Linked DNA regions of Arabidopsis thaliana. The protein of the gene in region 2 purifies or fractionates together with the protein of the main gene of each other region. This does not show direct contact. Each region holds a gene or a part of one and is shown on either strand. Other genes may lie near its edges. The genes, in order: RS27A, AT5G15520, AT3G61111 and AT4G15000.

What was found.
Region 1: the proteins of AT5G15520 (region 2) and RS27A fractionate together in Arabidopsis thaliana (co-fractionation; one large-scale study listed by BioGRID). This does not show direct contact.
Region 3: the proteins of AT5G15520 (region 2) and AT3G61111 fractionate together in Arabidopsis thaliana (co-fractionation; one large-scale study listed by BioGRID). This does not show direct contact.
Region 4: the proteins of AT5G15520 (region 2) and AT4G15000 fractionate together in Arabidopsis thaliana (co-fractionation; one large-scale study listed by BioGRID). This does not show direct contact.

Annotation. Positions count from the first base shown.
Region 1 is NC_003074.8:22,605,242-22,613,405, reverse strand, and holds RS27A (ribosomal protein S27), read right to left. Parts: upstream 1,886-8,164; 5' UTR 1,697-1,885; coding exon 1,694-1,696; intron 1,417-1,693; coding exon 1,315-1,416; intron 1,021-1,314; coding exon 992-1,020; intron 901-991; coding exon 774-900; 3' UTR 501-773; downstream 1-500. Other genes in the region: AT3G61111 (Zinc-binding ribosomal protein family protein), read left to right, coding at 50-176; AT3G61100 (Putative endonuclease or glycosyl hydrolase), read left to right, coding at 2,140-2,149, 2,258-2,467, 2,552-2,832; AT3G61090 (Putative endonuclease or glycosyl hydrolase), read left to right, coding at 3,584-3,611, 3,724-3,927, 4,002-4,312; AT3G61080 (Protein kinase superfamily protein), read right to left, coding at 4,523-4,824, 4,903-5,043, 5,122-5,240, 5,335-5,423, 5,500-5,574, 5,670-5,760, 5,846-5,999, 6,167-6,254; PEX11E (peroxin 11E), read left to right, coding at 7,247-7,438, 7,570-7,644, 7,743-7,817, 7,920-8,000, 8,083-8,145. UniProt on the Arabidopsis thaliana protein: May be involved in the elimination of damaged mRNA after UV irradiation.
Region 2 is NC_003076.8:5,033,695-5,042,339, forward strand, and holds AT5G15520 (Ribosomal protein S19e family protein), read right to left. Parts: upstream 5,061-8,645; 5' UTR 4,443-5,060; coding exon 4,359-4,442; intron 4,074-4,358; coding exon 3,983-4,073; intron 3,899-3,982; coding exon 3,715-3,898; intron 3,621-3,714; coding exon 3,548-3,620; 3' UTR 3,327-3,547; downstream 1-3,326. Other genes in the region: AT5G15510 (TPX2 (targeting protein for Xklp2) protein family), read left to right, coding at 426-1,270, 1,353-1,398, 1,511-1,603, 1,699-1,818, 1,939-2,037, 2,336-2,395, 2,482-2,576, 2,693-2,894; BCCP2 (biotin carboxyl carrier protein 2), read left to right, coding at 5,261-5,392, 5,586-5,627, 5,725-5,843, 5,936-6,248, 6,394-6,465, 6,568-6,633, 6,720-6,743; AT5G15533 (uncharacterized protein), read right to left, coding at 6,963-7,061, 7,125-7,142; AT5G15537 (uncharacterized protein), read right to left, coding at 8,337-8,391, 8,512-8,565.
Region 3 is NC_003074.8:22,612,591-22,620,190, forward strand, and holds AT3G61111 (Zinc-binding ribosomal protein family protein), read right to left. Parts: upstream 1,413-7,600; 5' UTR 1,330-1,412; coding exon 1,327-1,329; intron 1,150-1,326; coding exon 1,048-1,149; intron 882-1,047; coding exon 853-881; intron 767-852; coding exon 640-766; coding exon of another isoform or gene 623-639; 3' UTR 501-622; downstream 1-500. Other genes in the region: RS27A (ribosomal protein S27), read left to right, coding at 1-42; AT3G61113 (Ubiquitin related modifier 1), read right to left, coding at 1,992-2,109, 2,202-2,284, 2,373-2,448, 2,803-2,825; AT3G61117 (uncharacterized protein), read right to left, coding at 3,840-3,968; AGL13 (AGAMOUS-like 13), read right to left, coding at 5,824-5,911, 6,025-6,173, 6,300-6,335, 6,426-6,467, 6,570-6,669, 6,765-6,826, 6,998-7,073.
Region 4 is NC_003075.7:8,567,454-8,575,005, reverse strand, and holds AT4G15000 (Ribosomal L27e protein family), read right to left. Parts: upstream 3,191-7,552; 5' UTR 3,111-3,190; coding exon 2,703-3,110; 3' UTR 2,645-2,702; coding exon of another isoform or gene 2,619-2,644; 3' UTR 2,325-2,618; downstream 1-2,324. Other genes in the region: AT4G15010 (Mitochondrial substrate carrier family protein), read left to right, coding at 142-258, 339-414, 492-587, 845-1,361, 1,457-1,592, 1,687-1,881; AT4G14990 (Topoisomerase II-associated protein PAT1), read left to right, coding at 5,495-5,546, 5,943-6,088, 6,183-6,239, 6,415-6,490, 6,715-7,552.

The DNA.
Region 1 (8,164 bases), on a different chromosome or scaffold from region 2:
TAAATTAAGAAACTTAAAACTTATTATGGGCTTTGTTCTTTTACTGCAGCACAACTATTTTCAGTCACTCACAGACAGTCGTGGTATGCGGAAAGTGTCAGAACGTTCTGTGCCAACCTACAGGAGGCAAGGCCAAGCTCACAGTAGGATGCTCTTTCAGGAAGCTTACCGATTGAATCAGATATCATCATAAGCTTGTCTCTTTTTTAATACCAACCAGTTTTCAGTCCTCCTTTACCATTGGTTGTTTCAAATATTAATAGTTGACACTGAAGGATTTGCTTTCATGGATTCGTTACCAATTTGATCAAAGAAAGCCCTGAAATGTTCATGAAAGGCTTTTTTACTCTCATATGTCTTTGGTCTTCTAGCAACAACCTCGTTCTTCAGTGTTTTAAAACAACGTTTGGGATCCATAACGATTGGGAGCTTGGCGACCAGCTTGATAAAAAACTTGCATAACGGTTGCTTCAAAGTTCAAACACAAACGTACCAACATTTAGTTCTTAACTTCTTTAATTACTTTTTTTTGACGAAATATAAAGTACAAACAACCAATCAAAGTGAGTATTTTGAGATACCAAATGGATTAGATGCAAGCAAGCAGTAAACTATTTTAGACTTGGGGATAATCTCAAAAGTAAAAGAGCAAACTCTGCTTACTTATATTAAAAATCCAAACATTTTAAAATTCCAGAGATAACATCATAGCCAACAACAACAAAAAAAAAAGAAAAAGAAAACAGCCTTCATTATTTTGATGATTGCTTCAATCAATCACCCTTTCTCCTGAAAGAGCATCCTTCGGTGAGCTTTGCCTTTCCTCCTGTAGGCTGGCACAGAATTGTCTGGCAGTTTCCGCACACCACAACAGTCTGCGAGTGACTGAAAACAGTAGTGCTGCGATACCAAAACAGAACCCGATAAGATTATGTTCCTCTATATATGTGTAATAATGTCGAAAAAGAAAGAGATTGTTTTCAGAACTTACATGTTGAAGCAGCCTTGGCACTTCACATCCTACAGTAGTAAGATATACAAGAAAAGAAACAACAATCAGAGTCCATAAAAGAGTAAATGAGAATCAGATACAAATCAAATTCACAAACTCAAAACATACATACAATTCACAAACTCGAAACTAGTTACATAGATTCTCAAACTTACATCCAAAAATCGCCATCACATAACACACTGTCAAAGCTAGGGATTATGAGAAAATCATTAAACTCCAAATTAACATACAGTTCTAATCACAGAGACTTATTTGCTAAAGGGTTCAAGAGAAGGAGAAAGCTTTAAAATTTTGATTACCATGAAGAAGGAATTGGGAGACTGGACAAGACGCTTGAGCTTGTGCTTCCTCTTCTCAAGCTCAGCAGGTGGGTTAAGCAGATCGATATCGTTTTGAAGAACCTGTTCCACATCAACAAAAACAAAATTAGCTTAGAGCATTAGATCAACCCAATGATGAAAACCACACTTCTAATAAGCTAATATATATTTCGTAAACGTGACTAAAACCTAAAGATTCAAGCTTTTTATAGAAGAAGATATCAAAAGAGAATTTACATAAAACTCTTGAGTGACTCGAAATTTCACTAAAAGGATTCGTTTTTCTATAACAAAATCATATCAAGAGACGTATAGGGAGAGAGATGAAGACGAGAATAAAGTGCAAGAGAGAACTAACCATCTTCGCAAGAAGCTAAAGAGACGACGGCGAAAGATAGCAAGCAACGGCAACAATAGGCGAGAGAGAAAGGGTTTCTAGGGTTACCACTTAATGTCTCCTTTATATATTAACACCATAATCTGACCTTGCTATCCTTTTGAACCTTCTCATCGAATTGGAGGGTTTACATTCTCTTTTTATTTTAAGAAGAGTCATCCACCAAAAGACAAAAAAGTAAATTGTTGACAGTGGGATTTGAACCCACGCCCTTTCGGACCAGAACCTTAATCTGGCGCCTTAGACCAACTCGGCCATATCAACTTTTGTTGCTCTGTTTCGATTTCTAAATTACTAAACCAAAGTTCCCGGACCATTTCTTTTTAAACCCAACCAAACCAAGAGAGAGCTCGCTCTTCCACCGCCGCAGATCTAAAACCCTGATTTCTCGGGTGTTGGTCGAAACCATGACCACTGGTTAGCTCTCTCTCTCTCTATCTCTCTAATAGTATGTGGAGGAACAAATCAATAGTAATTCTCTGGATACTGATTGTTAATGCATTTTGCCGCCTTTTTTGTATCTAGAGGAAGAGGATAAGGTAGTCGTCTTCTGGGACGTCGTAGAATGCCCACTCCCTGATGATCTCGAGCCTTCTGAGGTTTCTGAGAATATCGAATCAGCTCTAGATAGACAGGGTTATCTTCCTTGTAATGTGTCAATCAGGGTTTACGGTAAGAAGAATCATGAGTTCAAGGATGAGTTTCTCCTCGCTAATATCATGTTCGTACCCGCAGGTGATCATTTCCTCTCCCTCTTTAACACTACTCACTCCCCTTAGTTGTCTTAGATATCTCCATTGATATAACTATGGTTTTCAGGAGATGCAAATGCGAGATATAATAGGATGGTGAAGGATATTGATAAATGGGCATTGGACAATGATGAATCAGATTTGATGGTGATCTCACGAGTCAACTCGAAGTTCGCCACTTATCTCGCAGATTGGAAAGCCAAAGACTTGTACATTTTCGGAGCAGAGCCAGAAAAAGCACCAGGGAAATGTAGCAACTGCAAAGTTACGAGTTTGGACGAGCTTTTCACTCAACAATGGGTTTGGGAAAGCCTATCACTTGGAGGAGACCCTATCACCCGAGCTTAGTTAGTTATTCATCGTTTCAATCGATTGTGAATTCTACTTGACATTACCGACTCGAAATTGGATTGTTTTAACATTTTCGTATCTTCTCATTAATCAAAAGGGTGAATCTTGTTATAGTTCTTAACGTTTTCTGTGTTAAAATTAAAAGTTTGTTGCTCCTTTGAATGCATTTGCTGCTCTTAAACTCACTCCTTTGCATGAATATTGATTAATCTTATAATAAAACTGAATATGATACTTGTGGGTTCTGATGAGTATTACAAGTTCCCGACATAGATCGAGTAGTAGGGGCTGGTTAAGTCAAGTTCCCGGTACGACCAGTTCAGCTGCTCTTAAACTCACTCCATGGCCTTCCCAGTATTACAAGTTACTCAAAATGTAAACTTGCACAGAATTCTTGATTAGAGAGATTGGTGTTGTTTCTCATTTTGAACAAGACTTTTTTTTTTTTCATCTCATTTTGAACAAGACTCTGTTTACTATATACTAGTAGAAACGAGAAAGGAGCATTCTATGTTCCAGAATTCACATTTTGAGCAACTTGTAAATAAGAAGTCCCTAGTACAACACCCACAAAAGAGCCCATTAACTTCGTTGTACAGAATGCAACCATTCCGGGACCATTTATTTTAAAGCCCAACCAGAGGCCCATTACTGACCCTTTCTAGTTGAGGAACAATTAATAACTTTTGTCCCAATGTTGTCAACTTTGTTCAGAAGAAGTCTCTCTCAGTCTAGGTCACTCGAAACCATGTCTTCTTTGACAAGCGAAAATGCTGGTAAGCTCTCGTTCTCTCTCTATCATGTCATTTGTAATGGATCTATTCAAATTGTATTCTCTCGATGCTGATTTGTAATGCATCTTCCGTTTTCGAAAAACCTTGCTGACAGAGACTAAGGTAGGCGTCTTCTGGGACGTGGAGGAATGCCCAGTCCCTGATGGTGTGGAGCCATCTGTGGTTTGTGAGAATATCAAACTTGCTCTTGAGAAAAAGGGTTATCGTCCATGTAATGTCTCAATCAGAGTTTATGGTGAGAGGACTAATAAGTTCAAGGATGACTTTCTCCTCGCTGATATCATGTTCTTACCCGCAGGTAAAGAAACACAGTACTTGTCTTTTTCTTTTACTTTATGTCCGTATCTTAGAGATCTCTGTTGATGGTTTCAGGAGATGAAGGAGCGAGATTTATGAGGATGTGTAATGATTTCTTTTGCTGGGGAAATGACAATCGTAAATCAACTTTGATGGTAATGTCACGAGACAGCACTGAGTTCGCCTCTTCTTTCGTAATGTACAAAAACTTGAATTTCAACATTCTCGTAGCACAGCCAGAAAACGTAGACAGAAAATGTCCTGTCTGCAGAAAGCCTTTGGAAATGATCATCACTGACGAATGGGTTTGGGAAAGCCTCTCTGCTGGAGGAGACCCTCTCCCCAAAACCCAAGAAGAACCAGACCTTAGTAACTCTTGTCATTAACTATGCTGCTTTTATTACTAGTTGTTATTTGTAATGTTTAAAATCGATTGTGAATTCTTCTCTCCATCACATTACCACCTATGTACAACCAGATCATCGATTTAAACATGTATGACAGACATCTTTCTTCGTATAAACCACCTTACATAACACCAACACACAAATACACACATAAAGAAAGCATATAAGCAGCAGCTTTCCCTCCTCATCTTAAGCTTTGAGCATCCGTAGATAATCATCGATGATTGACATCGCAGATGATCGGTAGCCCGAGCCAAACAGGTTATAATGGTTCAAGTAATGATAGAGCAAATACAGATCCCTCCTCTTCTCATATCCCGCTTGTTTTGGCATTACCTTGAGGGAGCAATGAAACAAAACAACCTTTAAACTTGATTTTAGTTGATACAGAAACTGTGAGAAAAGGAAGAGAACCTTGAAATAGGCATTGTAGAAAGATTCTCCAAATCCTGCGCACCACGACATTCCAAAATCCGCCTCGTTATGCCCATCTGTGGAGGAGGAATGAGATCAAAACGGTGCTTGAAAATGGTAAAATATATCAAGAATTTGAGAATGAAAGCTTATACAGTAACAGGCAGGATCAAGAATGACAGGTTCGTTGTTCTTGTCGTATGCGATATTCCCGCTCCAGAGATCACCATGTAACAAGCACGGTTCTATGACAACATTCTCAAAGAGAGGTGCCATGTTCTGTATCAGTGTATGACCTGTTCAAATATTTTCTTCAAACCTTAAACCAATCTGTTCTCACCAAGTTTATAACGAGAGAGAAGAGAGAAAGAAACCTTTCTGATAAATAGCAGAGTCACCATACTGATCCCTAGCTAACTTAAGCTGGTAACCCAATCTCTTCTCACCATAAAATTCAATCCAATCCGAAGACCAAGTATTGATCTGCGGGGTACTAAAATAGGCACATTGCACATCATGAAGATTGTGAGAGAAGACAGCAACTCAATAAAAGTGACTAAGATTTTTGAAAATGGAATTCATTCCACCTGCCAATAGTGTTGTCAACCTCAAAGCCAAAACCTTTCGAAGTTTTCCCGGCTTTATGCATCTCAGCTAGCTTCCTTCCTAATTCAGCCTAATGACTAATAACCATGAACCCATGAAACTAAAGTTCTTAACATTGGTTCATAGTTTATATTCATCATTATCACCTGATTGCCTCTTGATCCCCCAAAATCTATAAACTCCATGATGATATAAGATCCACCTGTTGGCAATTCCCCAGCCTGTTAACACTTTTAAACAAGAATCTATGATTAGAGAGATCAACAAAAATAATAATGTATATACGCCAAAGAAAGAAAAGAAAGATTAAACTTGCTTTGTGTGGATTTGGAACACGGATTGTTCTGGTTTCATACATAGCCTCAAGACCAAGAGCCTCTCCCTCAAACATGGCAGGTCCAATACTCCTAAAACCAGTGTAACAAACAACAAAACATTAAAAGTCTTGACTATGAATACCAGAGAGGTTTAGTAAGACATCAATTAATATACCTGTTAGTTTTAACGAAGAAAGAACCAGCATCAGTTTGATAATGACTTGCAAGATTAATGCATCCACCACCAACAGAACCAATCTTTGTTATCTGAGTTGCTTTTCCTTCTGTAAGAATCCATTCACGAATTGGATCCTCACTCATTGCAGCCACTAACCAATCAATTAAACAGATGAAATTCAATTAGTATGATCAAAACAGTAACTAAAGTTTGCTCTTTTGAGAACAGAGAAATACAAAATTCGTAAATTTGCCTCCATTATATCAAAACAATGAAATATTGTTCATCCAACACCAACATAAGCTAAAGATAACTTACTAGCAACAAATTTGGGTCGAGGAGAGAAGTTGCGAAGAAGAAGATGTGGCCGAGCAGAGAAGCAAATACTAAGAGAAGCCACCGCCATTTTCTTCTTCTCCCGGCTTTGGTATTATTCTTCATGTGGCCGTTATTCAATTTCCCGTCCAAGCTTATTTCGGTGACTGTTTGGATACAAAGTTATCTTCATCCTTGTCTTGTTTAACTTCAGAACCAGCTTTTTAAAAAAATGAAAAAAATAAGGCTTCTTGAGGCCTGGCCCATTAACACTACGAAACGCTGCGTTTTAAGATGTGTTCTCCTTCCTCGATAAGTGTGCCACACGCGCGTATAGATGAGGCCTGTGGTGTACACGGAACTTATCGACGGTTAGAAATGAAACGATTAGGAGATTAGATCGTTGAACAAAACGACGTGTTTTGGTCTATTTATAAAGAAAGAAATAAAAAGGAGAGATGACCAAACACGCCTTTATCATAGTTTCTATCTCCGATGACACAAAACGAGGAAGATTATTTGACATTTTAAGTAAGAACAGCTAGCTTTGCCATCTCCCTAAAGGCAATAAATCTCGGATCCACTTTCACGATATTTTGATATTTTTTCTATTTATAATCTTTCTGGGTTTTGAGTCTTTTGAAGGCTGAATTGCTCTGAAATCTCAATTGTATAATCATCTCCTGGGTCGTCGTTATCGTGATCATCTAGGTAAGTGGATTGGAATCCCAATTTCTGAAATTTTTGAATGTTTTCAAGTTTCACATGCCTTAGATTTGACGTTCTTTTTCATTTTTGTAAACTTGCTAATTGCATTGTTGTGTTTTAAATCTTTGTGGTTGGTGATGAAGTTAATGTTCTGGCTTGAATTTGATCAAAGCCAACATTTTTCTCATGTTTCTCATTAATCAAACGTGACTTTATTAGAGAAGGATGAATTTTGCTATAGCTCTTGATTTTTTGTGTGTTTAATTTAGATGGGAACAACTCTGTTTCTAGATTCATAGTTTAGTTTGAGCTCGTGTAAAGGTGTGTTGATGAATCTTGGGTTGCGTTGTTGTTGTTTTTCTGACAGAAGAAAGCATGACTACACTAGATTTGACCAGAGCCGAGCTTGCTCTTATTGTTCTCTATTTGAACAAAGCTGAGGCTAGAGATAAGATATGCAGAGCTATCCAATATGGTTCCAAATTTTTGAGCGGTGGCCAACCTGGTACTGCTCAAACTGTCGACAAAAACACCAGCTTGGCGAGAAAAGTTTTCCGTCTTTTCAAGGTCATGCCCTCATTGTTGCTATTTCTATCTTTGTTTCTTAGAATTGGAACCGGCTTCATTGTTGCTTCTTTCTTATTATTTGGATTGAAAATGTTTTGATTTCTGATTAGCAAATGGTTTCGAATGTGCAGTTTGTCAATGATTTTCACGGTCTTATCAGCCCCGTGCCTAAAGGGACTCCACTTCCTCTTGTCTTACTCGGGAAGGTGCTAAAGAGATGTTGAATTTTCACATCATTTCTTCATATCTTGATTTGATTCAATCTCTTTAACTTCTGTTTTTGTTTGTTGGTTGACCGTTTCAGTCGAAGAATGCGCTCTTGTCTACCTTTTTGTTTCTTGATCAAATCGTCTGGCTTGGTAGATCCGGCATATACAAGGTGAGATAAGTTTAAGGCAATAATCCATAATGGTCTTTTGAAGTTTTGATGTTTCATTTGCTCTGTTAAGTGACTAAAGATTCTTGTTCAATCGCATCGCAGAACAAAGAACGAACTGAATTGCTTGGACGTATATCACTTTTCTGCTGGCTGGGATCATCCGTTTGTACAAGTGCAGTCGAGGTTTTTTTTAATCTCTTCTCAACATTTTGATTTGCTCGCGTATAAACATAAATCCCGATCTTGATCTTCCTATGTGTATCAGATTGGTGAGCTTGGAAGGCTCTCTTCATCTATGAAGAAGATGGAAAAGGAACTCAAAGCTGATGTAAAAACTCTCATGTGTA
Region 2 (8,645 bases):
CAACGTGGATCATATCGGCTCCAGCATCTATTTGATCTAATGGCTAAGATTGTACAAAATAACTCGCTGCTAAAGTGTTGAAATTCGGATGTGACGTGGCATTAAACGTGGATTAAAATCATCATAATCATTAATTTGACAATCTAACGGACAAGATTAGGAAAATAATTATTTATTACTAATCTAAGTTTATTTATTAAAAAAGCACCAAAAAGACTAGCCGTTATTAGAGAGCGTCCAAAGAGCGCCGCAACGGTCACATTTTTCCCCCAAATCTATCTTCTTATTCGATTTACAATACTCCATAGCAAGAACAAACCCTAATTCTTCACCTCCGATCAATTTTTTTTTTGTTGGAGAGATTCTCAAATCTAGATCGATTACTGTTCGTGTTACTCTCTTGATTCCAGATTCTGTTATCTTCGATGGAGTCGTTGACATTGAAGAATGGGAAAGCAGGGACTCCGGTGAAGGATCGGAGCAAGTTTCAGTCCAATCAAAAGATTTCCAGATCATCGGAGAATGCAAACCCTAACATTTCACAAGCGAGTCCTTCTAAATCACCGCTCATGAAATCTGCGAAGAAATCAGCGCAGAAGAATCCGAGTCCGAGCCCTAAACCTACCCAGGCGGTTTTCTCTCCCCGGAATCGGATCAGAGAGAGGAAGTTTGTTGTGGTGGCGAAGAAGAATTCGAGGAAAGGGAAGAAGGAGCCAGCGATTACAGAATCCAAGGCAGCTGAGATAGATTGTAAATGCGGAGAGAGGAAGAAGGGGAACATGAAGTGTGTTTGTGTTGCATATGAAACTCTGCGTGCTTCGCAAGAGGAGTTCTTCAAAAATCGAATTGAATCAGAGGAGGATAAGGAAGCTTTGGAGGAATGCTGTAATCTCGGAAATGGCGATGAACTAGAAGGAAAAGAATCTGGAGAACCGGAGAAAACAGGCGTTTCCACAATGAAGAGATCAAGAGCTAAGGTGGTGGAAGAAGCACGGCAAAGTGTGCCTGTATCTGGTAAAGTGATGAATCTTGTAGAAGCATTTGAGAAACTCACTTGCTTTAGTAATTCAAAGACTGCCAACAAGATAGAAGAGAATCAAACCGAAGAGGATACGAAGAAACCTGTGAAATTGGAATTCTTGGAGGGTGAGAAAGAGAAAAACCCATGGAGTTCTTCGTTTTGTCCATCTGAAATGGTCTTAACAGCTAAGAATCTGGGTTTAGACCCCAATGCTTCGATTTCTTCGTCCTGGGACAGCACCCGTGGCAGGTTAGTTTGTTGTTGACTAAGAGATCTCACTGAAATTATGAACTTGTCTTGTTCTGAATAGTTTGATATTGTGATGTTTCAGTGTTTTGAGTGGAAGTTCAAATGCTGGCAGGAGAAGTAGAAGAAATGTAAGTGTCCTGCATGCAGCATCTGAATTTTCTTAGCTGTTTAATGGTTGTCTGTCTTGCTTAGTATGTCAGTATAGTTTAATAATCATTTTGATATTTCTGTTTATGGCAGAGCATGGAGTCATCGACTACAATGGGAAGTAGAAGATCAAAGAAGAAGCAGGTTAAGGTCACTTCATTGAAGCCGTTTAAGCTTAGAACTGAGGTATGAGTTTCTTTAGATTAAAACTAAAGAAAAATTTCGAATTTTATGGTGGAAATTGAGTCATGACAGTTGGTTGGTCTTTTGTCTCTCTGCAGCAAAGAGGTAAAGTGAAAGAGGAAGAGTTAGCAAAAAAGATACACGAAATAACAATGGAGGAAGAAAAGATGAGAATCCCCATTGCTCAAGGTCTTCCATGGACAACCGATGAACCTGAGGTAAGCATGTTCTGCTTTCCTATTAACATCTCAATTGATCTTGTAAGCTCTAGTAGTAACAATAGTGAGAGATGATGTCTTGTTGACTATGAAAAGTTCTAATGTTGTTTTCTGTTTCAGTGCCTAGTGAAGCCTCATTGGAAAGACATTACAAGACCAGTCGACTTGACGCTCCACTCAGATGTCCGGGCAGTTGAACGCGCAGAATTTGATTACCAGGTAACCTTGCTAATGCAATGATTAAATCTACATTTTGTTGGGCTTGAAGTTCAAGATACCTTAAAACATAGCCGCTGACATGATTTGGCTTCAGTAACCATTTCATTCTGTCAAATCATTTAGAGTATACTTGTTTTCTTATCAGCTGGTTGTGTTAAGACTTGAGACGGAAAGGAAAATAGCTGATAGTGTCAAATAGTGTGTATTGTAGTCTGTAGCCAAGGTTGACTTGTCTATAGTAACTTTGCATTGTTCCATAAATTTCTTCATGTTAAAGTCTGAATTTTTGTTGTTCTAGGTTGCCGAGAAGATGAGCTTCATTGAGCAATACAAAATGGAAAGAGAAAGACAACAGAAGGTAAACTTTAATATGAGATGTTGTGGCCATATCCGATAATAGAGTTTTGCTTTAACTGATTTTGATAAATCCAATATTGTTTTTAGTTGGCAGAGGAAGAAGAGATAAGAAGGCTGAGGAAAGAATTGGTCCCAAAAGCACAACCAATGCCATACTTTGATCGACCATTCATTCCAAGAAGGTAAAAGACTGGTACATAAATACTATCCTCTTGAATCTTTCTTATTATGAGAGCATGATAGGTAATATAGATATTGTTTTCAAGTGAGAAATATGTTTTCAATATAGTTTTCACAGACCAACTAATAGAGTAAACTTTCTTATAACAATGAACGTCATTGCAAAAGCTGACACAGTTGCTTCTTGTTGTTTTCTTTTACCATTAAAAGGTCGAGCAAACATCCAACTGCACCACGAGATCCCAAGTTTCACATACCGCAACACAAGAAGATCAGATGCTGCAGTTCATCTTCTTGGAGTGAAACTGGCTCCTGCATGAGCGATTTCCAATATCAGTTTCTCTAGAAAGCTTCTTTTGGATTTACTACTATATCATCCTTGTTCATATTCTCATTTTCAAAACTACATTACCTTTCTGTAACCAATTAGTTGCAGTTTCATAGATTTGACAATCATTCTTGTTTCACCTTTGTAATAATAATCTGGTCTTCACCCAAGAAAATGAGAAAGATTCCATATTGTTTGCAAAATCTGGTTTGATCTGGTTCAGAAAGATATAATACTTATCCTCCAGTTTGAATTTGGATTTAACTGACTTATCTTATGATTCAATCCGTGTTCCACCTCTCATACATTTGTTTGCAGAATCCGGTGTACATTGGTTTAGTTCTGGTCAAGAAACATATGTGAGTTTTAAATCATCTTCCAATTTAAATTTGTATATGACTGACATACCAGAAGAGTTTTCATAGAGAAGAGTAAATTGTTTCTTGAGATTTCTATGAAGAAGAGTAAACTTGGGATACAAAATCACTGTAAAGAACAAAACTTTAATAGCTTCATCAAATATCAAATTAGTTCGTCAAAATGAACAGAGCAGAAGAGAGTAGAGATCTAAAATCACAAAAGCTAAAAAGATCTATAACATTCTTGAGGCTCCTCCAAAGCAAGCATAAGGAGAACAACAGCTCTTCATGATTCAGCTGCAATACGCCCAGCAACCTGATCCAAATCCCGTTGACCGCTCGAAGTGATTCTTCTCCCTCTGAGACAAAGAATGAACAAAGGAGGAGAGATGAAAGTAAGTCACTAACAAGGTCTTCCTACGAAAAGTGCCTTTAGAAAGAAATAAGAATTACCCTTTAGTGTCAAGCTCGACAATGCTCATTGTCTCCAACTGTTGGAGAATATGGCGAGCAATACCACCACTGCTCTTACAGAAATGTGGTGGTCGACTTCCATTTCTTTTGCTACCTCCATAAATTCTTCTGAAAGCACCAACACCAAGACCTCCTCTCAAGTAAATCTTTCTGGCCATAGAAGCTGCACCATACAAGATATCAACAACGTTCATAACGACTCTATAAAAACAAAAACAAGCGAAGAGAAAGCTAAGCTTTTTTTTACCAGCTCTAATGTAGTACCAATCAGGGTCATATGGAGCAAGCTCCTTCAAACGACCAGTCTTCACAATGTCTGTCCATAGAGGAAGCTCAATCTAAATCAGACAAAAGAGACAACTATTATTACAGTGAATTTCCAATTAGCTGCCTATGATCACTAACATCAAGAATCTATCATTTCTATCTCTATTTCTCTCTTCCTCAGTCGTTTTATAGTATTCAATGCCTCAAAATCACACCAACACATTGAACTACAATATCAGAAGCTCCCTCAAACTCTCAATTGTTTCCTCTAAAACTCATTATCAGATCCTTTTGTGACGTCTTTCGATTCTCAGCTGAATCAATCAAACTTGAGAGAGAAGCATCAAAACACTAACCTTTCCAGATCGCTTGAGGTGAGAAGCGTAAGCCTTCACGAAATCGTGAGGAGAAACATCTTTCACGGTTTTACCAGTCGCCATTTCACGAATCACTCCGTTAAGTTAAGCCAAGAGCTTTCAATTTTCAGTCACAAAGTCTATATATATCTGAGCAATCAATTTTCAATTAGGGTTTTTTTCGGACACACTGAACCCGAATCGACCCGCCTAACCCATTATGGGCCATTAAATCTATTTAAGCGGCTTATACGCTCCGTTTCAGTTAAAAGTGTAGTTCAGTCTTAATTATTATTTTAGCTACTGAAAGTTATAAAGATAAGATATGTTTTTGACCAGAAGCCACAGACAAGTTTAGCTGAGTAAAAAACGCATGGTCTTGTCTTCAATAAAACCCCACCTATCTGCATTTACTGAAGTGACCAACTATAAAATATGTTAAGTGTCACTGGATATTGTTGAGTTTTAAATCTTGCAGACATTATGACCAAAGATTGGATCAAAAAGACTGTTGGATTTGTGAAACAAATGCAGATTACATGGAGGCAATCTCTGAAAGACTGTTCCGGTGATTAGACCAGTAACACATGTATAGCTGAACACACATATCTATACATATCTATATCTATCTATATTGGTGTATTTTGTGTATATACTAAAAAATAAGACAGAGAAACACCGAGGCACTATGTTATGACATGGCACGATTGAACTGATAGAAGACAAAAGGAGCGGTTTGGTGAAGTTAGTTAAAAGAGTTGGGTTTCTTCGTAAGCATCGAAATCAGATTTCTTTACCAAAGAAAAAATAAAGAAAAGAAAAATATAGCAAGTACACTGCATTTCAACACTCTCATATCTCTCCTTCCTACTTCCTCGGTTTCATCGTCCACTGTCTCAACAATGGCGTCATTGTCGGTACCTTGCGTCAAGATCTGTGCTCTGAACAGGCGGGTCGGATCTCTCCCTGGAATCTCTACTCAAAGATGGCAGCCGCAACCCAATGGGATCTCCTTTCCCTCCGATGTTTCTCAGGTTTCTTCTGCTCCTCTTCTTTCTCTCTCTGCCTCTCTTGCATATGATGATTCTATAAAAAAGGTGTGAGCCTTTACGAAAAGATTTGCCTTTTTTCTGTGTGTGTTTTCCACTGCAATGGTGCTCGAGTTGGTGACTGTTTAAAGTTAGTATGCATTGATTCATAATTCTCTGTTCTGTTCTTCTCCTGCAGAATCATTCTGCATTCTGGAGGTTGCGTGCAACAACTAATGAGGTAGAGATTGCATGTTTTTTTTACCAACAATGGTCCATTCAATTAAACGTTAATTGTACGACTGTGTAACCTTCTTAATCATTTCGACTTTACCAAGGTTGTTTCTAACTCCACTCCAATGACTAATGGTGGGTATATGAACGGAAAAGCGAAAACCAATGTTCCTGAACCCGCCGAGCTCTCTGAATTTATGGCTAAAGTCTCTGGTCTTCTTAAGTAAGTCCACAATCCAATGAATCCCTTACTATCCTTTAGTTTGCTTTCTTTCGATGAACTAGTCAAGCACTAAACATTTTGATCTTATTAAGGCTTGTGGATTCAAAAGACATAGTGGAACTTGAACTAAAGCAGCTCGACTGTGAGATCGTTATTCGAAAGAAGGAAGCTTTACAGCAAGCTGTACCACCAGCTCCAGTTTATCACTCAATGCCTCCTGTAATGGCAGACTTTTCAATGCCTCCAGCTCAACCAGTGGCTCTTCCTCCTTCTCCTACTCCTACCTCAACGCCTGCAACAGCAAAACCAACATCCGCCCCATCCTCGTCTCATCCTCCACTCAAGAGTCCCATGGCTGGTACTTTCTATAGATCTCCTGGACCCGGTGAACCCCCTTTTGTAAAGGTACGAAAGAAAGGAAACAAAAACCTGCAAAATATTTGTTATTGGTTGAAGTTGAATCAAAGTCTTGAAAATTCTCTCTATCGAGATATGAACAGTTATTACATTTGAAATGGATGTGGGTTTGTTTTCTGTTTGCAATTTGCAGGTTGGAGATAAGGTACAGAAGGGTCAAATTGTTTGTATTATCGAAGCTATGAAACTGATGAACGAGATTGAGGTCTGATATTCTTCTTTATAACATTGTGATAACTTACACTTGGAAATTTGCGAATTTGAGGTTTCAGAGTCTTTAACTTGTGAAATCGTGTCTTGAAAACAGGCTGAGAAGTCAGGAACCATCATGGAACTACTGGCTGAAGATGGAAAACCAGTCAGCGTTGACACGGTACCGATCTCTCTCTTCGTTTTTTATTTTTTTCACAGTTCTTTCAGATCTTTGACTTATGGTTACTTATACAACAAATTATGCAGCCTCTTTTTGTCATCGCACCTTGAAACGAAGAAGGATCCTTTTAGCTGCTTCAAAACATCTTCAAAGTCTCGGTTAAGCTATAGCAACGTGCTAAAACTCATCAAGTAATTATTTCAGCTTAAGTTGGTTGGTTTCGGATTTCTGCTTGTCGCTTCAATAATTGACCCATCTTTTGGGATTTCACGTAACGTACTACACTTTGCTTTTTAGTTTTCTGCGAAACTAATGTATTTTGTAGCCTCTCAATCCTGGCTCTCTGTCCCATACTTCAGTTTTTTACACAACGCACTGCTTATAAAAGCACAGTTAAAGGTGTCTAAAGGAGAATGGTGTGTCTTTGACTGAGGCAACAAATAAAACAGTGAAAAGTTAAGGTTTTACATGATGCATTACCTTAATAAAACATGTTTCCATGTTTTCATCTATAAAAAAAGAAGGGAAAAACAGTAGCATAAAAGCTTCACTTATCATGCTATCGATGGTCAAACGAACCCACTGCAAGCAATCCTCTTTTCTAGCGTTTATGCATTTGTATTATAACCAGAAGTAGTTGAGGCCTACAGAAGTATTTGAGCAGTTGGTGGCTGCTGATAACTTCCTCCGGTTACACTTTGGGACCTGAGACCTTGCAGTAGTTTGAGAAACTCAGAGGGTTCGGGTGGATAGGGTCGTAAAACTCTAAACGCCCTCTTGATCTTGAGGTTCGCAAAGTCCCTGGAGTAGAGTGTCAACTCGGTCGGCATAAGTATTATGAGTTGACGTGATTTTGGAGCAACTTGCGGTAAGGGCTGCAAGCTGAGTGTTGCAACGCTCCTCAAACGAAATGAACTTCTTTAACAGTTCACTGATGGTGCATTGTTGTTGATCATTCATCATCTTCTTGATTTCGTCGAGCGTAGAGGTTTGATCTCCGTTTTTTGCCATAGCGATTCCTATTCTAGAGGCCCCTCCTTTTGGCGCCAAATTATGGATGTCAGAATCCTCCCTTAAGAATTTCTTGAAAGTGTTTAGTATTAATCGTGATAGAGTTTTGTTACAAGATTTTTTCGTCCACCTTACAATACAAACCCTTCTCTATGTATATGTGAACCTTAGACTATATTTCATAAATGCAGCCATTTTCCCGCTGTGAATACACTTAAACGTAACTTGCAATCCGCGGAACGAACTATTAAATGCAAGATCCGAAGAACCGAATCTGAATGGAACCGATCCGAGTAACTAAATGGCCAAGCTTATCCCTAATCCTATATATGTTTATAGCATTGAGAGTGCTTCCTGGAAAAGTTCCAAGGAATCAAAGAGAAAATGTGTGAATGAAAGAAAGCTTTTTCACTGCTCTGATTCCACGTCACAAATTGAGAAATGAAGTCGTACCGACTTTGAAGATTATAGAAATGAAAAAACTTCTTATATAAACTATAAACCTTAGTAAGTAGTTTCATAAACTTCTGTTTAGCACTCATTCATCATACAATATAAACAATTGCATTTAGAGTATGTGTTCGTGTTATGCATTTATGTTTGTATTAGTGTGAGCACAAAAGTTACGTTTGTGTGTATGTTTACGTTTAGTGTATGTATTCGTGTTATGTGTATATTTGTATCAGTGTGCTCTAAAGACGTGGGTGCTTAATTGAGGTTTGGTTTATAAAGGAAAAATTGATCCACCTAAAAAAAAACACATGGAAATATTAAATTTGCAGCCAAAGGAGAAATAAGCCAACAATACTAAAGTATCTAAAAATATTCATGCGTAAATGTATTAAGTAAACTTCGGAATCTACTTACTTGGAAATAGGAGTGTTGAAGACGACGCACACCCCAAAAGCTCCAATCATGCCTCTGATTAAAGAATAAAAGAGTTATGCTTTGCTTAAAAATACATCCAAAGGCTCAAAACTGTACCAGATGTAAGTAGAGAC
Region 3 (7,600 bases), on a different chromosome or scaffold from region 2:
AAGCTCACCGAAGGATGCTCTTTCAGGAGAAAGGGTGATTGATTGAAGCAATCATCAAAATAATGAAGGCTGTTTTCTTTTTCTTTTTTTTTTGTTGTTGTTGGCTATGATGTTATCTCTGGAATTTTAAAATGTTTGGATTTTTAATATAAGTAAGCAGAGTTTGCTCTTTTACTTTTGAGATTATCCCCAAGTCTAAAATAGTTTACTGCTTGCTTGCATCTAATCCATTTGGTATCTCAAAATACTCACTTTGATTGGTTGTTTGTACTTTATATTTCGTCAAAAAAAAGTAATTAAAGAAGTTAAGAACTAAATGTTGGTACGTTTGTGTTTGAACTTTGAAGCAACCGTTATGCAAGTTTTTTATCAAGCTGGTCGCCAAGCTCCCAATCGTTATGGATCCCAAACGTTGTTTTAAAACACTGAAGAACGAGGTTGTTGCTAGAAGACCAAAGACATATGAGAGTAAAAAAGCCTTTCATGAACATTTCAGGGCTTTCTTTGATCAAATTGGTAACGAATCCATGAAAGCAAATCCTTCAGTGTCAACTATTAATATTTGAAACAACCAATGGTAAAGGAGGACTGAAAACTGGTTGGTATTAAAAAAGAGACAAGCTTATGATGATATCTGATTCAATCGGTAAGCTTCCTGAAAGAGCATCCTACTGTGAGCTTGGCCTTGCCTCCTGTAGGTTGGCACAGAACGTTCTGACACTTTCCGCATACCACGACTGTCTGTGAGTGACTGAAAATAGTTGTGCTGCAGTAAAAGAACAAAGCCCATAATAAGTTTTAAGTTTCTTAATTTATCTTATGTAACAGGAAAATATTGATTTCAAATCTTACATGTTGATACAGTCAGAGCACCTAACAAGCTACAGTAAAATTAAACAAAAATCAGAGTCCACAGAAAGAGTAGATAAACTTCATACAAGTAAATTAGAATCCGATTAAAAAACTTGAAGTATTACAGTTTCTAAACAGAGAGATTTGGTTTTTACAGGATTCTAAATAAGGAGAAAGGTTTCAAAGTTTTATTACCATGAAATAGGAATTTGGTGATGGAACAAGACGCTTGAGCTTATGCTTCCTCTTCTCAAGCTCAGCCGGAGGATTAAGCAGATCGATATCGTTTTGAAGAACCTGTTCCATATCAACAAATAATAACAATTAACTTTGCATCTCATCAGTACTCAAATCAAATGACACAACCACACTTCTAATTAGCTTACTTCCCATCTCGTTACCGTGATTAAAACCCTTATAACAAAATCAAATCAGGAGATGTAAATGGAGAGCATCCAGTGCAAGAGATCTAACCATCTTCGCAAGACTCTCAAGAGACGACGGCGAAAGCTAGCAAGCAACGGCAACAATTCGCGAGAGAGGTTTTTATAATTACTCACTGCCGGTTGTGAACAAACGAGGATGGGAATATATTAGGTTTACTTAGTTACTTGGAGACCAATTAATCTGAAAATCTTCTAGAATGGGCCTAGAGCATCTACATAGTTAAGAAAACACAACAAATTTGACCTTTCAGTCAAAGTAGAGGCTTTATTTACATTCTCTTTTTTTTTTTTTTTTTTTTTTTCTTTTTTTTTTGAACACGAATTTACATTCTCTTTTTATCCATAAATAAACAAACAAAAAACATCCTAAATTTGTCTAGTTTTTTTTTTTTTTTTTTTTTTAACTTTTTCTTATGTAAGTCTTGTTTCCAAACATTTTTCAGTATGTAGAGAGAATTTCAATAATATACTAATACTACATCCATAAGGCACACTGCATTAAAGCAACCATGAGGTGAATCTGATTCTGGTAGCTAAGATTCATAACATCAAAACTCCTCAATTACGAATGATGTGGTTGCAAATATAAACTCAAAGTAATAACAATGAGCCAGAGATTACAAAGGTTTGTGGAATGTTCATCACAAGTAGTTGGAAACGATCAAAATGATCAAGGCTCTGCTATTTCAATATTCATCCACCGTGCAGAGTCGAAATGAAAACTATAACATCTTTATCTTCTAATGTTGTATCGAGCTGACCACTAAGTTCCCAATCGCAGTCATTAACCAGCACGAGAACTCCAGGCCTCCTGCGTTTATGAATTCCAAACCACCATTGTTATTAAACACTAAAAACAGAGTTCTTGCTGGAAATCAAGGAAAGAAAAGAGAGAAGCTTTACACGGTATCGCCTTTCATGAACATTTCAGGCCTTTCCTTGATCAAATTGGTACGAACCCATGAAAGCAAATCCTTCATTGTCAACTGTACTGAATGAAACACCAGTGAGAAGTTTTACATGACTATAATAAACTCAATGGTATTTAAAAATCATCAAAAGAGAGAAGCTTACGATATCAGAATCATTGAGTAAGTTGATGTTAACTTTATGAATCTTTACGGAGTCACAGAGCAATTCTAAACCTCCACTGCAGGAGATCAACAAGCACATATTTTCATGTTAATACCAATACGAAACTCTCATTCACTACCAATTGATCTGATGATGACCGGAATGTAAAAAGTCTAAAGTCATTTATGATTTTCCCAATCCAAAAATCATTACTTTATTAGCACTGAATAAGCAAAACAAAGATAGGCTTATGCTACAAACTGTGCATTATAATATCCCAAGCAAATAGAGAAACCATAATCTAAAGCACTAAGTTTTCAGTTTTTTCCCGACCAATAAACAGGCATTGACATTTGAGAGTCAATCAAATGAAATCAAAATATAAACCACTATGAGAGTGGGCAAATGACACAAACGAGTAATAGTGTACCCGAACTCAAGAGTAAATTGCATCTTCAATGAAGTTTTGCGGTAACAAAACCCTTCTTCTTCTTTTTCTTCTTCTCCGATTCTCTCCGATAGGATCTCCGCTTTGAGTTCACGCAAAACTCCATACGACGTCGTTTTCGTTTTCTTGGTTTGGGCCCTTAAAGTTAGGCAACATGATCACCAAATATCAAAGCCCTTCTTAAAAATACCCAAACGCTTATTGAAACAGAATCACAACAGTTTGTTTTCTTAGGCAAGAATCAAAACAGTAGACATTCTCCGGCGTGTGACATTCAACACGTGGAGATAGCGCACGAGAACGAGATCTTTCCGCGTCATCATTTAAACCGTAGATATCACATAGAAGAATAAAAGTTTCCGCCACGATTCCGCCGAATAAAAAAAGACCATATAATTCGACAGTTTTCAATTGTGGCTATATCTCATGTGACATTCAACACGTGGAGATAGTACAAGAACGAGATCTTTCCGCGTCATCATTTAAACCGTAGATATCACATAGAAGAATGAAAGTTTCCGCCACAAATCCGCCGAATAAAAAAAGACCATATAATTCGACAGTTTTCAATTGTGGCTATATCTCATGTGACATTTAACACGTGGAGATAGCACGAGAACGAGATCTTTCCGCGTCATCATTTAAACCGTAGATATCACATAGAAGAATGAAAATTTCCGCCACGAATCCGCCGAATAAAAAAAGACCATATAATTCGACAGTTTTCAATTAATACCCAAAGTGTACCGAAAATATTTTTACCCATTTTGAGTGTCAGCTATTTTTTTGAACATTTTGTTTGTAGTTTGAGTGTTTTCTAACGTTCGTTTGGTGTTTTTTGGTCAAGATTGGTGTTGACTAGTTTCGACTAGTTGTTTGGTATTTTTTACTCAATCGCAATTTTGAGTTTCTTTCACTAGCGCTCGTTTGTTATTTTTGTTGGTTTTATTCGCTTTGAGTGTTTAGACTAGCGATTGTTTGGTATTTTTTAATCAATAGAACTTTTGAGTGTTTTTTGACTAGCGATTGTTTATTGTTATTTTTGTGTTTTCCTCTCTACGTTCACTCTCTGTGCCCGTGTTCACCCTATACATATATGCATATGAGACACGTTCACGCCTTGCGTAAGCACATTCACTCCCTATCATACATCTATTATGGATATATGCATGAGACAGTCACACCCTATCATTCATCTATTATGCATATGAGACACATTCATGCCGCACATTCATACATCTATTATGGATTTATGCATGAGACATTCACACCCTATACATCTATACATCCTTCATAAACAAAAATACACATATTGCATATACACAGCCGTGTTAACAACTTCAAAAGGCTGGCCAGTGGCCAAGCGCTTCAATGGGGAAACTCTCGGACACACACAGTCACTTGTCCACCCTCTGCAAAATCAATAGAAATCTTCAATACAATTTTTTTCTCTACTAGTCAACAATTTCGGTACATGCATAAGTACGTTTCTTACAAAAAAAAAAAAGAGGAAAATTCTCTCTTGGTTTTCACAACAATTATAAACCCATTCTACGTTTTCTTAGACATAACATATAAACAACTCATAAAACCATCACACATAAAATTAATCTCACATCAATGAAGTCATCAAGTCAATATACTGGATGTACAATTAACGAACAAACATATATAACTAAAAATCAGTTTTATTAAAGACGTACATATATATATATATATATATCTAAAACCAGTTTACGATCAGAGACACATCATTAGAGTCAAGATATAAAAGGGATTTAAAACGTTTGTTGAACTCCATAATTTTTTTTTGAAAATTGACGAACAAGGTTATTAACAGAGACTGACAACAATCTTTTAATAGTAAACAAACTATAGATTATTTACCTGTAAGATGTTGCCTTTATGTTTGCTTGAGAGACTTTGAGTGACAACACAAGTGTGAGGACGGAACACAAGTCGGCGAACAGAACTAAGATGATAAAAACAGAGTGTATTTAACATTTGTAAGAAAAAGAACAAAAGAACGAGTAAGAGAATTCAGATCATCTGTCCGAAGAAAGTAGTACTTATAGAGTCCATTATCTTAATTTTTCTATTAAAAATAATAATTCAAACAGTCATAAAATGTTACCGTTTCACAACGTTCGTTTATTCCTAATCTCAAGGCAGACTCGTGTAAGAATAAGAGTCCATTATCTTAATTATTTTCATTAAAAATATCTAATTCAAACGGTCAAATTAAAATGTAGAAAAAGTTTTCAATTTAAAATATTTATTCAAAAATGTTACCGTTCCGCAGCGTTGATATTTTCCTACTCTCATCAAGTCAAATAAAAAAAAACGTTTAAATAAATTGGGAACTCGTAAAGTAAACAGTAAACACATCCAAGTAAATGTAATTTAATTAATTTTTCTGCTATCAATCTTTTGAATTATTCAAGTAATTATATAATTATTCTTCACGACTACTACTGCTGCTGCTACTACTACTACTACTATTTGAAAGGCATCATCTACTTAATTATGGTCTTCCACTGCATTCATTGATGATTTATGTTGTCTAAATTTCCATAATTCCTTTTTAATTCTTCGATTCTTTTTTTATTCTTCTTTTTATGTTTGTGTGTGCTTCTCTGATATGTTAATACCAGTTTCAAGTCTACTAGTAGAAAGTAAATTCGATTGATATCGTTCATTAACAACAACACATACTACACTATTACCAATATGAAACGGTTGAGTTCTTTTCTATTTGTTCTTTAGGACGGTTAACAAAAAAATCCACTAATCGCAAAAAAATTAGTGGTACATACTTATCCCATATATAACCTCCAAACAATAAATCAACGAGAACTCTAACAAATAATTGAAATTAAAGAAAAGAGTATGTCTTGTGAAAAAAAAAAAGAAAAAAAAAAAAAAAAAGAGTATGTCCCGATAGTAAATGACCTAAACGCTTCGTCGTGACTCAATGAGTCCAAACCAAGACAACGAAACCCATCATTGGACAAAGTTGGTCTCAGCATCACTTCTTGCATTACTCTTTGTCACCGAAGATCCTTCACCTTGCTCATAGTGTTGTTGAAACCTACATATGTATCATATTCATATTATATATGTATCCAATAAGGCCAAATTTATTCATAAAACCATGACTTGTATTTCATCAGTAGAGAAGCAAAAATATCGATTATTACGTACCCAATCTGTAAAAAATATCCAAGGTTGCAATCCGATATATAATTTTGATGAGTTGATTGCAAGGAAAAATCAGTGGAACAACCGGCGGTGAGCACCGGGTTAAGCAGTAGGTCTTGAAAGCCTTTAAAATCATGATCTTCTGTCTCAAGCTGATTATGAAGATTATCCATTTTATAAGATTTATGAGTAGACAATACACTAATTAACTAACACAAAATCATAGTAACTAAGAAAGACTTGATATATAATTTGGATGTCCAGTTAAAAACATTAACCTTTAGCTTATTGTTTATATCTCCGAGCTCCCTCTCCTGCCATTCCAAATACAAAAATGATATACACATGAGTACATTTACATACAATGCATGCATATATTGTAGAACATCATTTCGAGTACTTGCCTTTCTCCGAAGCTCTTCCATTTGTTCCATCATAACCTGCGTCTATATACATACATGCATATAAAGATATACATTTCAATAATGTATTTTGCAGGTCTAAATGATGCGCAAGAAAAATTGGTCTACGTATGAAATATGTCATGCCTTTTGTTTTCGGGTTGCGGAAAGAGCTCCTTCAAGCTGTCTCTCCAGCGTCTGCAATTCCTTTATACTCATCCCTTCAAGATCTTCCCCAACCAAATTCCTTTTTCAACGATTCAAAACGATTATTAGTAGCAGAAATTAGGAAATGTACAATTATAGGAAGTAATGGATTACGAGGAGTACGATTAGTTAAACCTATGAGTGCGAAGAAGAGATTCGTATTTGCATTTGAGCTTTGTCACCTCTTGACGCAAGCCCTGCACCAAAAAGCAGAAGATTAACTACAATTTATCTTAGCTCTATTTATTTTATACATCGTTATAATATAATAGTTAGTTTGACTATGTATACACTTAGAATGAACAAAGGTCAAATTCCGTATATATATAAAGATAAAATGAACATACTTAAGAAAAAAAATGATTGACCTGAGTATCTTCAAGCGTATCATTGTCCAAAAGATTGTCTTTACAGCGATAGTACCTCTCAATGGTTCTGCCAACTCTACAGTTTATAAAACAAAAGAAACCACAAGATATTTTAATTAATAATCTGAATTTGCTTAAATTCAAAACCAAAGAACGAAAACCTTAAGTTCTGTGTTAACTTTTAATGCATGTCTAAAGGAAATTCTAATTACACAAAAATCTCTGGGAAGATATATCTGCGTAATGGATTATAGATCTACGGCTACCCATGATAAACCCTAATTAATTTCTCTAATTAGAATTAGAAAGACATATCTATTTAAAGAGGCAAAACGTATATATGAGGTTTCATGGATCTTAAGGACATACACATATCAAAGCTGGTGATAACAATTAAAACCCAAAATAAAACAAAGAAGTTTTCTTTCAAAAGATTTACCGGATCTAAAAGCTAAACTGACCCATATGTCCGATGGATCCTGAGAGATCGATGGATGGTGATCAACCTTAACTAGTTAGGGTTAGAATAAAAAGACATAACCTTTTTCAGATACCCACAAGACAGAATTTGGTTTCTTGATCTTAAGAACAGACACAAATCAA
Region 4 (7,552 bases), on a different chromosome or scaffold from region 2:
GATCTACTTCTAAACCTCTTAATTTTGGAGACTATGATAAGAGTAAAGGACATAGTATGTTTGAATACTGATACTGTAGTCTGTAGTGTTGCTGACAAAAACGTATAGGTATATGTACATTTGTTTTCGCTGAGGCTAAAGATGGATAAGCTTCTTGAGAATCATCAGTTTGCGACACATGCCATCGCTGCCTCGGCCTCTGTCTCGTTAGGAACTGCTCTCGCTTATCCTTTAGATACCATCAAAACCATTATCCAGGTTTTTTCCCTCTTCTTCACCAAATTGTTCTTTTTATCACTTAGATTCATCTGGGGATTAAGAATAGCATTGAACTACAGGTTGGTTCAGGACCCAATAAGAAATTAAGCTCCTTTCAAGTTTTTAATAGAGTTCTTCGATTCTCTGGCTATTCAGGTTCGCAAACTACTCTTTTAGATTCCAATCATTTTCTGATTCTGCATCAGGCATAATGACATGTTCTTCAAATGCAGGTCTGTACAGTGGTCTTGGATCGTTAACTTTAGGAAGAATTTCTGGTTTTGGTGCAAGGTTTGGTGTCTATGAGATTCTAACAGCTTTCTACAAAGGTATTACACAGGTCCATGTCTCCTTTGTTGTGTCTGATTTCGATGATTCAAGATTAGGTTTCTTTGTGTCTAGCTCCTCTGTCAATTAGCTCAATAACATCAGTTAATTAGTCAATACAGCAATCATTTGTTCATGGATTATGTTAGAATATGCAACAGTGTTCACATACATTCATGTCATTTATACGCAAATTTGGTTCCTTTTTGGGCAATACCTTTGTCTTGAAGAATCTGAATATGAATTCATTTCGCTCCAGATGGTCGACATGATAACTACGTGAGTGTTGGTGAAGCTTTTCTGGCTGGTCTGGTGGGAGGTGCAGCAGAAACAGTGATGACTTCTCCATTTGAGCTAATCAAAGTCCGAAAACAAGTGACTGCTGCATCACGGGCTCCAAATGCTTCCGCTGTTGCAGAGACCGCACCGGTCTCACCCATGATCACAAAACTGCTAAGAAGATACACTCTTGATGTAAAGTCATTGACACAAACAGTCAGTCTCTTATCCGTCTTAAATCACAAACACCCAAACATGACAGCTGCTTTGCAAGAGTACCCTTGGATGATGACTGGAACAGGAAACCCACCATCAGCCATGGATGTTAAGAGACCGCTCGATGTTGCATCACTTGAAGGATATAGAGCTTTATGGAGGAATCTACGTTCAGGTCTTATAAGAGATTGTATTTACGGTGGAGTATTCTTTTCAACATGGCAGTTTCTTCACGAGGCAATGGTCGGTTGGAAAGCTGTTGGGATGAATCCTCTGCCCAGGTACTTAAAACTCTCAATCGACACTGAATTCTCAATTCACTTGAACTTGGATTGTTGATTGTTAAAATGATTATGCGGAAACTTGATGAATTCAGTTCTGAAGAAGAAGTTGGACCTTTATCTCCGGTAGCCATTAGCCTTGCTGCTGGGATATCTGGTGCCGTTGCAGCTGCAGCATCACATAGCTTTGACACAGCAAGAACACGTGCACAGTGTGTAATATTGCCAAAGGTTTAAAGAAACTCTACTCATGGCTTTCCACTTTATCTTACAAAGAGATATGAAACTCATTTTCTCTGTTGGGTTTCTATTGTTTTACTTACAGTATACAGCAAAGGAGAGGAAGTTTCTAAAATGGAATAAACCAGGGAAGAGATTAGAGAGATGGACAGGAATCCATCCTACAGACAGAAATCTCTTGTTCCGAGGTATTGGGATGAGGATGGCTCGAAGCTCTGTTGCATCGACTGTGATCGTAGGAAGCTATTACTTAGCTGTCGATTTATTGGTTCCCAAGTGAGAAAACAAACAATCACATAAGCCTACAAATCTGTCTTTAGATCAGATTAACGATACCGCAATAGTGATTGTTTTTTAGTAGCCTGCGTTTTGTTATACAGTTAACAGAGAAATCATATGTGAGTTTTTCTCAATACTCTGAAATAAATAATTAACATCATTGGCTGTATCTGTAAGTTTGATGATTACAAATTATCAATTTCCTAGACAAATGAAACTCGAAAATTTGCTGTATTTTACGACGAGTTTAGGAATAAGCTACTTGCAATGGGATATTCAGAATCTAACAAAAACGATACAAGATTCAACTTTTGGTAAATACATTTCCCGATTCTATCAAAACTTAATGCCAGAGAAGCTTATAAACAAAGGAGATATAGCCATTGTATCAGAACCTTGCTCAAAAAACAATTAGCTATTGATATTTTGCTAATTCAAAACCGTGATTAAGACAATTAGTAACACCAAATTCAATTTCGAAGATTACGAAACTTGAACATCTATAATTTTCTAACTAAGGCTATGAACAAGAATTCTTTGCAATGGACCTCCAGATTTTAACCAATATCAGCCTAAAGACGTTACTAAATTCATCATTTCCTCAAGCCTAAGCAAATATAATTCAACGGAAACAAAAGAGTAAATAAGAATGCATTAGAGAATCAAAATAAAAGATCAAATCCATAATCCAAACTTCAACAAAACATCTTCCACAATCCAAAACAGGATCCACATTTTTCACCATGGGAAATGAACCCTAGAAACTAAAAAACACGATAACAAAACGCTCAAAATGAATTCCTCACGAAATAGAAAATTTCTTCAGAACCTGAGCTTGGTAAAGAACCATCTGTTCTTACCGGTTTTGAACCTCTCCTCAAGCTTAGCCTTAGCTTCCTTAAGAGCAGCAACCTTCTTATCCTTACTCTGAAGAGCATCAAGAGTCGCCACTTCCTTGAGATCCACGTCGAGTGTGTAACGAGTAGGCATCAGATGCTGGTAATTAACAAGCTTGATGAAACACTTAACCCTAGATTTCTTAGCTGTCTTCTTAGCTGAGTCTTTGCGGATGACTTTGCTCGGGTACTTCTTGAGTCCGGCGACGAGGCAGTGTCCGTAAGGACGATCACGGTTACCGTCGTCGAAGGATTTGATGATGACGGCTTTCTTTCCGGCGTAACGTCCTTGAAGAAGGATCACGGCCTTGTTCTGCTTCAAGAACTTCACCATTGTTGCTTCGTTTGGTAGATCCCTCTCACTTGTCTCTCTCTCTGGCTGCTATGAACCCTAAGTGGCGGATTCTATGAGAAATGCGGCTTTAATAGTAATGCAGAAAATGGATGCGGAGAGAACCTAGTTTCAGTTATTGGGCCTTTAGGTTAGACCCATTTTTAATTTGGGCTTTATATTCTTATCACACGGCCTGGTAAACCTAGCTTCAGTTATTGGGTCATACTAATTCTAGTTTTCCTTTTTTTTTTTTCTTACGTTCGTACAAACTTCAAAAGAGTTATTATTACAAAAACTTTTTTTTTTGAACTAACAAAGACATATATAAAATTATACAACTGTTATGGATCCCATTGATAATACAAAACTGTAAAAAGAATTAAGTTGTTAGCTGGAGTTGTAAGTATTTTTGAAATAGTGCAAAATTTACAAAAGAATTATACGAGAGAGCTGTAAAAAAAAAAAAAAGTAAAACTTTTAGTAACGGTTTTGATAAAACTTTTATGATTGGTGTTGAAGCTATCCAACTCTATATTTGACTGCTAATTTTAGTTACTCATATATGTTTTTTGGCTTGCTCATAGCACTACCACTATGTATAGTGACTAACTTTTACAAAATTACACTTATACTATCTACAAAATTATACATTTATCATATTATTATTGGAATTGTTTGTGAAACTATACATTGTATCGCATAAAAACATGCTGTCTTTTTCTCAAAATCTTCTAATTTTTCGATCAAGTTCCATACTCAAAATTATCAATTTAATTGTCACGAAAATTTCGAAAACCTTTCTACCAATATTTTAAGACTTTCAAACATGTCTACTTTCGTTTTCGATCACAAAATTTACCTTTCATCATACGAACAAAGTTGGAAACTTCTTCTCGCAGCAATCAATATATTTGTTTATAATTCTACTAAAATGTGTCAAATATTTATAATTAAAAATTGCATGCTTGACTTTTCTAGCCACTGCGAGACTATAGTCTATAATTATGGACTGTTAACATCATATTTGCAGATTATTATATATTTTAGAAAACTTTGCTTGGCCGGTTATATCGTGTCTACGCAAGTAAGTATATAGGTGTCATATTTTATAAAAAATAGACCATTTGAATTTGTGTATAATAAATTAGCAAATGAGATCAAATTGAACCGACCGGATGAAATCCGTTCACATGGACCATATAACTTGTCCCTCCAGTTATTTTATTTTATTTCGTCGATGTGTATTTAATTTTGTTAATCTCTATGCAATTAAGTTTTCATAACTAACTTATTTGGTTTGGTTGAGGAGTTTCAAACAAGTAAAAGCATAAACTTAAAAGGAGAAAATAGGTGGAATCATATATTTAGAAGGATCGTCTTACTAATTAGAATCATATACTAGTAGTTAGTGGATGTGGTATAACCTATATGGCTATATCAATTAAATTGTTTTTCGTAGTTATCCAAAATAATTACAGAAATAAGACGAATTCTCGTAGTTATCCAATAATTTATTTAATGTTTTCATATAAAATCTGAAGCCTAGAAATGCAAATTATGAAATTATGTATGGTTTACATGTATAATTGTTTATAGTGGTCTCATATGTTAAAAAAATAATTTTTTTTAATCGTGAATGTAGTGTGGATTACACGAAATCGGTCGATGTTTTTCAAATGCCGCAGGAAATTATATTTCTATGATAAGAAAATGTTTATGATCACTAATATTAGTAGACACAGCAATATGTAATAAATAATATTAAAATAGAGAGAATAATAAAATAAAAAAGCAGACAGCACTAAAAAAAGGTTATTCTTATCTTTTGTAATCACTATCACTAATTTTAGTAACATACTGTATAATTTTAATTAAAAGAAAAAAAAGTTCGGAAAGTGGAATATTTTTACTTTTGATTTTTTGTCAACAGAAGAGAATTTTTCCTTGACGACAAAAGAAAACATTTTTAATTTATTCTCTTTTATTTTAACTTAACGAACCAAAAAAAAAAAAAAGGTGAAATGCTTATTTCAGACAGAGAAATGAGGATTTGTTCGAGATGTGTCAATGTTACGCATAGCACAGGGCAGAGATAATAAAAAAAGGCTCTCTCTTTCTTTCTCTCTCTCTCTCTCTCTCTTCTCTAATCTAATCTAATCAAAAATCTCTTCTTTAGGAAGAGAAGTTTCCTCCTTCGACTTTCTTCTTTCTCAATATGAATCCCGGAAAATCGGGAACCTCTAGCGATTTCAGCTAATCTTTACTTACCTTTTCTTTAGTTCTGACAAGAAGTAGCAATACCCTTTTGGAGATTCGATCGTATTCGCTGTTTTTTTTTTTTGTGTTTTAGCTGTCTTCGTGTCTCTGCTACTTTGTGTTTGATCATGGAGAGATCTGATTCTAGAGATTTCTACAACTTCGCTAAGACTTCTTCTGGTCAGTTCTCTTTCTTGTTCAGCTCTTTTTGTTTTCAAATCTAATAAAAGTGTTTTTATTTTGTGATTCATCAGTTTGCTAAAGCTTCTTTCTTTGATCTGAGATGTGAATGATTTGATTTGCTTCTGATTTGTGAAAACTTTAAGAGAAACATACTTTTTGTTTCATGCTTGTTATGTTTGATTTATCTTCCTTGTTACAGTATTTGATTCGTTTTTTTTTTAAGTTTTGTAGTAACCTATAAGATTTACTAATTTGATTTTTGAAGTTGTATGAAATGATTGAAATGTCACAGATTTGTTTACAAAAGCTTTAGTTTTACTTAAATTTTCTGGTCAACTGATTGTCACTTACCTCATGTGTTTGATGAAACTGGATCTTATTGTCTTTGTGCAGATAACAATAGTGCACTCTTTGACGCATCTCAATATGAGTTCTTTGGTCAAAGTCTTGAAGAAGTCGAATTGGGTGGTCTTGATGATGATGGTACTGTTCGTGGACATGTTGATGATGAAGAGTATCACTTGTTTGATAAAAGAGAGGTAATTTGGACTGAGTCTGTTCTTGGCAATATTTGATGCTAATTATATATGAGATAAATGGAAGATAAAACAAAACATTTACTTCTGGTTTCAGGGTGCTGGTTTAGGATCATTATCTGACATGGATGATCTTGCCACAACTTTTGCAAAGGTTAGCATATTGTAAATTCCGAATTATGACTTTAAATAATTCTGTTTCTACTAATATCATTTTGTTACCATTTTTCATCGTCTCTCTTGAGACAAATGATCTGTCTTTCTCAGCTTCTTATTATTACTTGTTCTCTACTTTAACTTATCTTATTATTTGGTCTTATCTTGTGCAGCTGAACAGAAATGTTACCGGGCCCAAACACCTTGGAGTAATTGGTGACAGAGGATCAGGGTCCTTTTCAAGAGAAAGTGAGTTTTGTTTACTGTTTACTATTCTTGTTCTTCTATGTTACTTTTTCTTCTTCTTGAACTATGCAACTAAAGGTAAAAACTGTGAGCTTGTACTTTTAGATATCCACTTCTGGAGGTGAATGATTGGAGTATTAAGTTGTGGTAGTTGGAAATATAATTACAAGTCAACAAAAAAAAAATCCATTATCAGCTTTTTTTCTAACAGTAGTTTTTATGTCCAGGTTCTACTGCTACAGATTGGACTCAGGATAATGAGTTCACAAGCTGGTTGGATCAGCACACAGTTGAAGAACAAGTTCAGGAAGCTAGTTGGTCTTCACAGCCACAATCATCTCCTAATTCAAATTCTCTGTATAGGACATCCTCATATCCTCAGCAGCAAACACAGCTACAACATTACAGTAGCGAACCGATTATCGTACCAGAATCGACGTTTACATCTTTTCCTTCGCCTGGAAAAAGATCTCAACAGTCTTCCCCGAGCCATATTCATCGTGCTCCTTCTCTTCCTGGTGGTAGTCAGTCGAACTTTTCAGCTCCAAACGCCTCTCCGTTGTCGAATTCTACTTTCCATCTCTCGGGATTGTCACATGGACCGTCGCATTATGGTAATAATTTGGCTAGATATGCCTCATGTGGTCCTACTCTTGGTAACATGGTGCAACAACCTCCTCATTGGGTTACCGACCCCGGCCTTCTCCACGGTGATCATTCCGCGTTGTTACACAGTCTAATGCAACAGCAACATCTCCAACAACTGCCTCCTCGGAATGGTTTTACTTCACAACAGTTGATATCTCTTCAGCAGAGACAATCTTTAGCTCATCTTGCTGCATTACAATCTCAGCTATATAGTTCTTATCCTTCTCCATCACATAAAGCTCTTTTCGGGGTTGGTGAAGTAAGGGAACACAAACATAAGTCGTCTCATCGAAGTCGAAAGAACAGAGGTGGTATCTCTCAACAGACATCAGATTTAGCTAGCCAGAAAAGCGAAAGCGGATTGCAGTTTAGATCAAAGTACATGACTTCAGAAGAGATAGAGAGTATTCTCAAGAT